Coturnix japonica: one gene and its partner. Each later gene encodes a partner of the first gene's protein in a complex. Links are inferred from orthologs where the notes say so. Each region holds a gene or a part of one and is shown in the gene's direction. Other genes may lie near its edges.

Evidence for each region.
Region 2: the proteins of KIT (region 1) and SOCS6 are in contact, whole or in part, in a crystal structure (PDB 2VIF), measured with the Homo sapiens proteins. The link is inferred for Coturnix japonica from reciprocal best matches to the Homo sapiens genes KIT and SOCS6. Residues at the interface, in NP_000213.1 of Homo sapiens: Asn566, Asn567, Tyr568, Val569, Tyr570, Ile571, Asp572, Pro573, Thr574; in NP_004223.2 of Homo sapiens: Arg391, Glu395, Arg409, Asp410, Ser411, Ser412, Asp413, Ser419, Phe422, Thr428, Leu429, His430, Thr431, Arg432, Phe442, Tyr443, Glu444, Gln445, Val448, His460, Asp464, Ala469, Phe470, Cys471, Tyr472, Ser473, Arg474, Ser475, Arg476, Thr482.

What each region holds. Positions count from the first base shown.
Region 1 is NC_029519.1:58,881,620-58,885,295, reverse strand, and holds the end of KIT (mast/stem cell growth factor receptor Kit), read left to right. Parts: intron 1-754; coding exon 755-880; 3' UTR 881-2,993; downstream 2,994-3,676. UniProt on the Homo sapiens protein: Tyrosine-protein kinase that acts as a cell-surface receptor for the cytokine KITLG/SCF and plays an essential role in the regulation of cell survival and proliferation, hematopoiesis, stem cell maintenance, gametogenesis, mast cell development, migration and function, and in melanogenesis.
Region 2 is NC_029517.1:84,341,602-84,346,074, reverse strand, and holds the start of SOCS6 (suppressor of cytokine signaling 6), read left to right. Parts: upstream 1-1,594; 5' UTR 1,595-1,672; intron 1,673-1,692; exon of another isoform or gene 1,693-1,822; intron 1,823-4,473. UniProt on the Homo sapiens protein: SOCS family proteins form part of a classical negative feedback system that regulates cytokine signal transduction.

The sequences.
Region 1 (3,676 bases):
ATACTTACTTAGAAAAGCTTTCCTGGAGGAAGAGGTTGAGCTTTTGGTGCCCTCCTACCTCTTGCTACGTACTTCATCTAGCTGTATTTATTTAAGCTTGGAGGAATGTTGTGATCAAGTGTACATTCACTGTTCTTTCCACCATTCTCTAGTAAAAGCCTGTCCAGAGGGTAACTGGACAAAAGAGTTCAAAGAGAAAGCGGATCCAGCAGACTTGGATTTTTTCTCACAGTAACACTGTGTGCAACTGAGTTTTATAAAAGCAAGTTCAAGATCCGGTTTAAAAATAAGGCTTCCTTTCACCTTCTAGATGTCGTGTTTGGGTAGAGTGTAAGGCTTCCTGACAATCTGAGAAAGAGGAAACTGAAAGCTGCTGGTGTTCGATTGCATCCTGTAGCGTATTTTTAGCAGGTGCAGGCATCATTAAAACAAAAATGAAGAGTGTGAAGTAAACATTAGAGAGTTTTCTGGGGGCATTTTAGGAATAATCGGAGGAGTATTTTTTCAAGCTCAGTTTAAATTTAGAGTGCAGTTGTAAGATGAAGTGTTTTTAGTCAATGAGAATGAGATTCTTGACTCTTAAAAGAGCTGTTAAGCCCACAACATGTTGAAGCAGCGTGTTTAGGTTTGTCAAGAATCCCCTGAGTCGGGTGCCCTTCATGTCAGGTAGCACAGAGAGGGAGATGGCTCACTGAGGTGTGAAAGGATTGGGCCATCTGCCGGGTATTTTGACAGCAGTGTTTGGCTTCTGCAGGTGTATGCAAACTTTTCCACTCCACCTTCCAGTCAAGGCAACGCTGCAGATCATTCGGTGAGGATTAACTCAGTGGGTAGCAGCGCTTCATCTACTCAGCCCCTTCTGGTACGCGAAGATGTTTGAGTGGCATCTGGAAGAAGAGGAGCCCAGCTGTACTTGCTGTTTGTATTGTGTAGGGAGTGAGAGAGGGAGGACTTCTATTTCTTTTACTTTTACTCACTACTACCACCGTGTAGCTGAAATGTTGTAATACTGTCCTTTACCACACACTGTTACACATAAACTTAATGTGCTGAGCACGGTTACAGGCATCATTGCAATGTTAACTGAAGCTGTATATATTTTGCTATATTGTGTGTATTTGCAGTAGAGAGCCAGATGTGGAGAAGAAAAACAACAAAAAACCACAAAAGAGACCCTGGGCCAGGGTGTTGAATGAGATGACTACAGATCAAACCAAATCTGCAGCGGTCCTCCTCTGGATCCATGCTTGGAAAGCGTGTAGTCATTTTCTAGTTAATTTTGTTTTGTTGAGTTTAAGAAATAAACAGATATAAAGCAAAGTGCTTTGCAAACCCCTTTCCATATCCAGCCACACCTGAGAGGCTTTCTGTGGCAGACACCACAGGTTGGAGGCCAGGAGGGACAGTGAGTCCCTGGGCAAGAAGTGGGCAGCCAAGGGGTGGACATGGGCACCACAACAGAGAACTTACAGAGGTTCTGGGGCGTGAAGCTGTTCTGGAAGTGAAAGACCTCAGTCTTGATTTCCTACCTGGGCTTTCAGCAGTGCAGAGCAGTCAGCAGGTTTCTTTGGGTACCTGCACCACATCCCAATGGCATTCCACCACAGACCATACCCCACAGTCAGGACTGCAGGGATGAGATGCTTGGTTTGCTAAAAGCTGTGTCCAAATGCGTTCACCAAAGATAGGTGGGCCCTACTGAGCTGGTCAAATGACAGTAGGAGGGTTGCTTATAGTAAATGGAATGTCAGAGGAGCAGAGGCCGTTTAACGAGACATCTTATCTTGGCAGGAGCAGAAGCAAAAAATTCTGTCCTGAGGGCCCTTTGCTTATCTTGTGATATGCAGGTGAACATTTCCCATAGGCTGGCTTGGATAATGCACTCAGGAAAAGGCTATTCCTCCCACAAGTCATTACATCTTTCTATCTATCTCTGTAGTAGTGCTGAGATCCTGAAGCAGAACTTAACTGGGAAGCATTGAATTTTTAAATGGAATAGAACAGTGAATACCTTCAGTCTTGTTTGGTGGCACATAAGAGGCTGTGGGGTCAGTTTCTGTTGGCCTGGGATTGTGCTTAAGTATCTTATAACTCCTTTTCTTCCTGTTGGAAACACTGTTGTTTTTTTATTTTTATTTTTTTTTAACCTTTGTTCTGTCACCATTAAATTCATGAATGCCTCAAGAGAAGCATTTTGTTGAGACAAAGAGTACCACTTAAGTACCTATTTATTTACATTGCACTTAAGCACTCTGTAACTTATGTTTTACCAGGATTTTGGTTGAGTTTACATGCATTTTAAATGTGTAACTAACTGCCCAAAATGCAAGACAATTGTAAATACACACACTGGTAGTACATTTTAGGTAGTGTTGAATACCGCACTCTTTGTATGCCTGTGCATTTGGTTTATTGTTACAGGAATTCATCTTTCAGAGTTAGTCAAGAAGTAACCATTTGCACTGAACTTACTTAGGCTGTTGCACCTTTCCAAAGTTAGTCAGTTGTTTGGAGGCACTCTTATGCATACTTGTTGTTGAGCGTTTTCAGTTTAATGCTATAAAAGCTCTTTCGTAGTGTGTTGGCTTTCAGAGCAACTGTAGACAAACTAGTTTTATAATCATAGATGTCTTGGTACTTTATGGACATTTAGCTGAAAAAAAAAAGTTTGGGTTTTTTCTTTCTTAAAATTTATATTTTTATAATTTTTTTTGGGGGGGGGGGGATTGAAACTTATTTTGCAATGGCTTAGTGTTTGAATGGTTTTATGCATTGTTTTTTTGTAAATATGGAAATGTAGCAATAATGTCCTTTTGACTATTCTCAGTCCTTGAGTCTCAAAAATATTTTTATATATATATATATATGCAAAAACTATATGTATAAATATGTAAGTGTTCAAAAGTTTATGAAACACTTATGGATATGTTGCTCGGTTGTAGAATTGCAGTTCAGAAGAGTTCAAATAAATCTGTAAATATGTATTCAGATGCTATCGATGTGTACTATGTTAAGATGGAGTATTTTCATGTAAGTCTTAATAAATTCTTGGGTTGAAGCAAAATATTGATGTCTGGCCACACAAAGGTCAGGTTGGGTATTCTAAAATATATTTCACATATGTGACAGAAAACCTTGATGGTTTTTCATTAGAAAAGTTCTTTACTTGTATAATATGGGTATATGGTATATGGGATAATGGCCTGGATGCAGCTTTATGCTGAAGAAAATTTGCAACTTCTTTAATGAGTCAGTTCTATTGTATCATGTTGTTTTCCTAGTGGTATGGAATGCAATTAATGACCTGCATTTTGTGATGTCTATCTTAGTGAAATCACAACTGGACAAATGTCCATTAGACTGAAAAAAATGAATGGCAACTGCATTATATACCTAGAACTGTCTGGATTTGGAAGCCATAAAAAGAGAAAGTAGTAATTCCCTTGCTGGGCCAAGAACCACATTCCTAAGGGGATACCCTCTGCTTTAGTTACTGCAGTACTGAAATCTTTGACTCCAGACCCAGACCTATGCTGGTGTACGTACTGCATCAGCAAGGTTGGTACATGATTTAATTTGAACCATTGTTTTTCCTGTCTTACCTGCTTCCATGTTCAAGCAAAGTAGAATTCGTACCGAGACATCCCCATTCATGAATAGGTAGAAAGAGTTCATG
Region 2 (4,473 bases), on another chromosome or scaffold:
GGCAGTACTGTTTTTACACAGCAGAGCTGTGCTTCATAAGGATACTCAAATGATCAAGCTGGAGCTATTCTTATGTTTTGTTGTTGTTGCTGTTGTTGCTGTTGTTGCTGTTGTTGCTGTCTTTGTCTTTTTTTTTTTTTTTCCCCTTGTACTATTGAAGACATTTAATCATAATTGGAGAACATATAGTTTTAACAAAAACATAAATAACTCCAGGTACTTCATGTCTGAATAAGCCTGTGTTTGTATTAATAAGAAAATAATTTCCTTATACTGCTCTTACTGGAGGCATCACCACCTGAAACTGTAGCCTGCCAGCATCTGTGGTCGATCAGATGCATAAAGAACTGTGGAACTTTTGGATGAGACTCAAGAAAATTTCTCTGACACTCCTTAAACATCTGAGACACAAAAATGTAAATGCAGTCAGGACACATCCTGACCTCAGATAACTCAGGCAGTTAAGCAACTCTCAGACCTCAGCCCACAAACCTCCTTGGTTTCAGCAGAACAATTCAGGCAGAATGTGTACAGATATTCTCACAGCCTCGTGAGTTTCAATGATTGCTTTCTAAACTTCATATCAGTTAAGCGGGTGAGTAAGAAGTCACACAAATAACATCACTGACTCTTGTAGATAAGTAAATTATGCATATCTTTGCAAAATCAAGTTCTATATTTGCATCAGTTAAAGACCACAAGTAGGAAACGAAGGATGAAAATGCTTTAGAGAGTAATACTTTACCAGCTAGACAAATAGTACTTTCCACAACTTCCAAGACCCGTATTGTCCACACATCTGAATTCTTCCCCCCCTCACTTGTCACTCCTGCCAGTCTAACACATCCTCAACTAGGAATTGCCTTGTTGTTCTTTATTTGGAATTTTATTTTTAAAGAGGGACCAGAAAAACAAGCAAGCAGCCTGCTTGGCTGGAGTACCTAAAGCACAGCTGATGTGGCTGGAGTTTGGCGGCACTCTTCTCCAGTCAGTCTGCACAGCAGCATCACACACAACAATGTTTTTTTTCCTGAGCATCAAGACAAATGGGACAGGAGGGGAGCAGCCAAGCTTCTCGCACCTATGGGCCTGGCAGGGAGCTCCTGGTCCGGGGCAGCTGCAGGGGTTGGAAAGGAAGAATCCCTCAGAGGATGAAGTACAAGCACAACAACACTCATCACTGACAGAAAGGAGCTCGCTGTGAACTTTATTTATGAACTTCCTAAAGCCAGGGAGAACCTTCAGAGAGACAGGGAGAAAGGGGCCAGGGGGCCCCAGCGTAGCTACCCCAGAGTCCTGCGGCCACAGAGGAGGCAGACAGGAGCCGGGGGAGGCAAACCAGAGCGGAGACCGGGCCTCAGAGGGCTGGCGGTGGAGCGGGCGGGAAGGTGCAGGCAGGGCTCGGAGGAGGGCGAGCGGCCCGGGCCGTACGCGGCCGCATCAGCAGAGCAGTGCCTGCAGCAGGCGGCGGCCATCACGGGCTCGCCACCCCCGTGCGCCCCTCGGAGGACGGAGGGGTGGGGGCAGAGGAGGCGGAGGAAGCGGCGGCGGCGCCAGGAACAGGGAGGCGGCGGCGGCGCGGCAAAGGAGGGAGGGAGGGAGGGAGGGAGCCGAAGCCGGGCCGGGCCCCGCAAGAGCAACAGCGACGCCCAGCTCCTCCTCCTCCGCCTCGGTGAGTCCGCTCCGCCGCCCGGAGAGGCTGCTCGCCGCCCAGCCCGGATGCCGGCTCAGGCCGGGCCGCGCCGCCGAGGTGCCCGAAGAGAGGCCCGAGCCGCGAGCGGGACACCGCGGCCTCCGCTGGGTGAGCGTCCCCGGGGCAACGGTGCGCCCTCCCCCCACTCTTTTTCCTCCTTCCTTCCCCCGGTGGCCGCCGATGGAGAGCCAGGGATGGGGACGGTGCGGTTCTTAGCTTGCCTGCATCCCTCCTCCCGAGCCCCGGCCTCCTTTCCCTTTGTTTGCGCGGCGCTCCGAGCTCTCGGCGGCGCCAGGCCCTGCGGAGGCAGCGGGACTGCGGCGCGGCCTGCATGGCGGGCGGGGAGCAGCCGGGCCGGGCCGCGGGGCCACTGCACAGCCCCCGCCTGGCAGCAGGGGCCGCCGCCGCCGACCTCCCCACGACCCTGCGCCCACCTCCCCCGGGCCGCTGCTCCTGTGCACCCGCTGCTGCTCTGTGCCGTGACCGGGGGGCGGCCGAATTAGGCTGCTGGCTGCTTCCTCTCCCCATCCACCCACCTTCATTTTTAGGTTTGCAGGGGTCTGCTGCTGGGCAGGTTGCCAGGGGTGTCATTTTGTGCTACTGTTGTCGGGGCTTCGCACTGTGAAGGAGCTCCGGGGAAGGTGAAGCTGTAAATGTCATGTTATTGTTAGCTGAGGGTATGCCAAGGGCTGTGTAAGGGGTAAGGGAAGTATTGTTAGCTGTGACAGGCAGCACTTACAGGCTTAAAAAGCTCAAGACTTTTCTAAATTTATTTATTTATTTAAAATCCAAACAACAGGTAAACAAACAGAAACTTTATTAGCTTTCATTGTTTTTCAAACTGTCTTTTCCACTCTCTTTCCCTAATGGTGTAGCTTTGGTCTGAAACAGCTGGTTCTGGCCCATGCCAACTCTGTTGTCTAAGAAAGACCTTTCCAAAACCCTGAACTTTTGAGATGTAGAGAATGGCGCCGTGTTGTGAGGTGCTGTGATTGTGTTTTTTCCCCCTTAATTCTTTCATCATTTCTCCCCATATTTTTAGAACTGTGATAATGTACAGCAGAATATTCTTTGGAATGGGAAAGTGTCTCATCCAGTTACTACACTCTCCTGCCCTTTCACGATGAGGTCTCAACTCCTCTTTCCTGCCTGCCAGTAATGCTTACACCACATCCAACCTCTCAGTACACCTGTAGTTAAAAATGCCTTCTGTAGGCCTCCTGTCTTAGGAAGCTGATTTCTATAGAAGTACTTGAGGAATAATCCTTCTGCATTTCTGCCATGGCTGGACGCTATTTTTGTTTCATGTCAATTAGCCCATCCTTGGATTGTAGAAAATATGTAAGCTTTGGCATAGTTATGAGATAAATTACTCTAGCTTGGCTGGAAGACGTAAGCCACAGGAGAATATCTAGGTATTTTTGGAGTCTTTTACAGCGAGAGAGTAATTGTAGCTCATGCTTTTCTGTCTAAGTTACTAAGGCAGATTTCAGCTTTTTCAAAGTGCTTGCTTTAATGAAGTTTTCACTTCTGTCGTATATTTCTTGTTATGTGGCATCACGCTAAGTTTAGAACTGAACTTTTACTTAAAGCAGACTTACTTCTTGTTGTCGTTATGTGGATATATGCATTTACTAACTTCCCCAGAAGCTTCCATCTATAGGTTAGTAGAGAAGTAGCGCTGTATTGTTACCCAAGCTTCTGTGAGTTTCTTCATGGTGCTGGATATGTGCAACTAAGGGTTCTTGTAGACTAAGTTACAATGTTGGATTATCTTAAAAATTGACATAGTAAAATATGAAAAAAGATACTGGCTTATACCATGCTGTTAATTTGTTTCTTCCTGGGTTGTTCAGTAGGTCAATCAGATACTTTGAGTTACACCTAGAAAAGGAAGTTCAGACAAAATAATAACTTGGTCCAGGTTGCTGTGCAGGTAGTTCAGATTACTCTGCTTATTGCAGTGATGAGGGGGTGCGAGAGCAGACTCTTAATTGAGAGTTCTTCAGAAGCAAGTTAATTTCTTAATATTTTTATGAAAACTTCTGTAGTTGTAGGATAACTTAGGGATTACTGTCTGAAAGACTTGTTCCGGTAGTGTTGCCTTGAATTGTCTACATATTTGCTGCATCACTGCTGGCAAAACTGAGGCCATAGTTCAGGGTAATTCATTACGTGCTGTATTTGCTGTTACTTTACTTCCTCCCTGGGCCTACATAGTACTGTTTTGGTAGTACAGCGTGCCATAGGAGGTGAATGATAGAAAAGTAAATGGAAAGGAGTTTGATCTTTGCTGGTGTGTCTTGGCTTTAATGTGTGTTAGCAACAAAGCAGAGGACGGCTCCATTAGCAACAAAACAAAGAAGCTTGTGATGCTGCTTGGAGGAATATATACTACAAATAGTATAAAAAAAAATACAGTCTAACTTGTAAGTGCAAATACTGAAGTTTATTGAGTGGACAGGGTGGGGACTGAAAAGCAGAGTAGAGTTCTTATGCAAATTGACTATATATTTCAGTGAAGTGTAAGGGAAACAGAGAACTTTGTTTCCTTTTTAAAATTATTTTTATTTTATTTTATTTTATTTTATTTTATTTTATTTTATTTTATTTTATTTTATTTTATTTTATTTTATTGTTAAAGAGAAACAGCAATATTTGGTAATGTTCCTCATCCTTATTCTTTTGCGTAAACCTACTTTCATCCCATTTTAATATATGCTTATTTTCTGAAAATACAAATAAGTCTTCAGATGACCATAAATGCACTTGATGCAAAG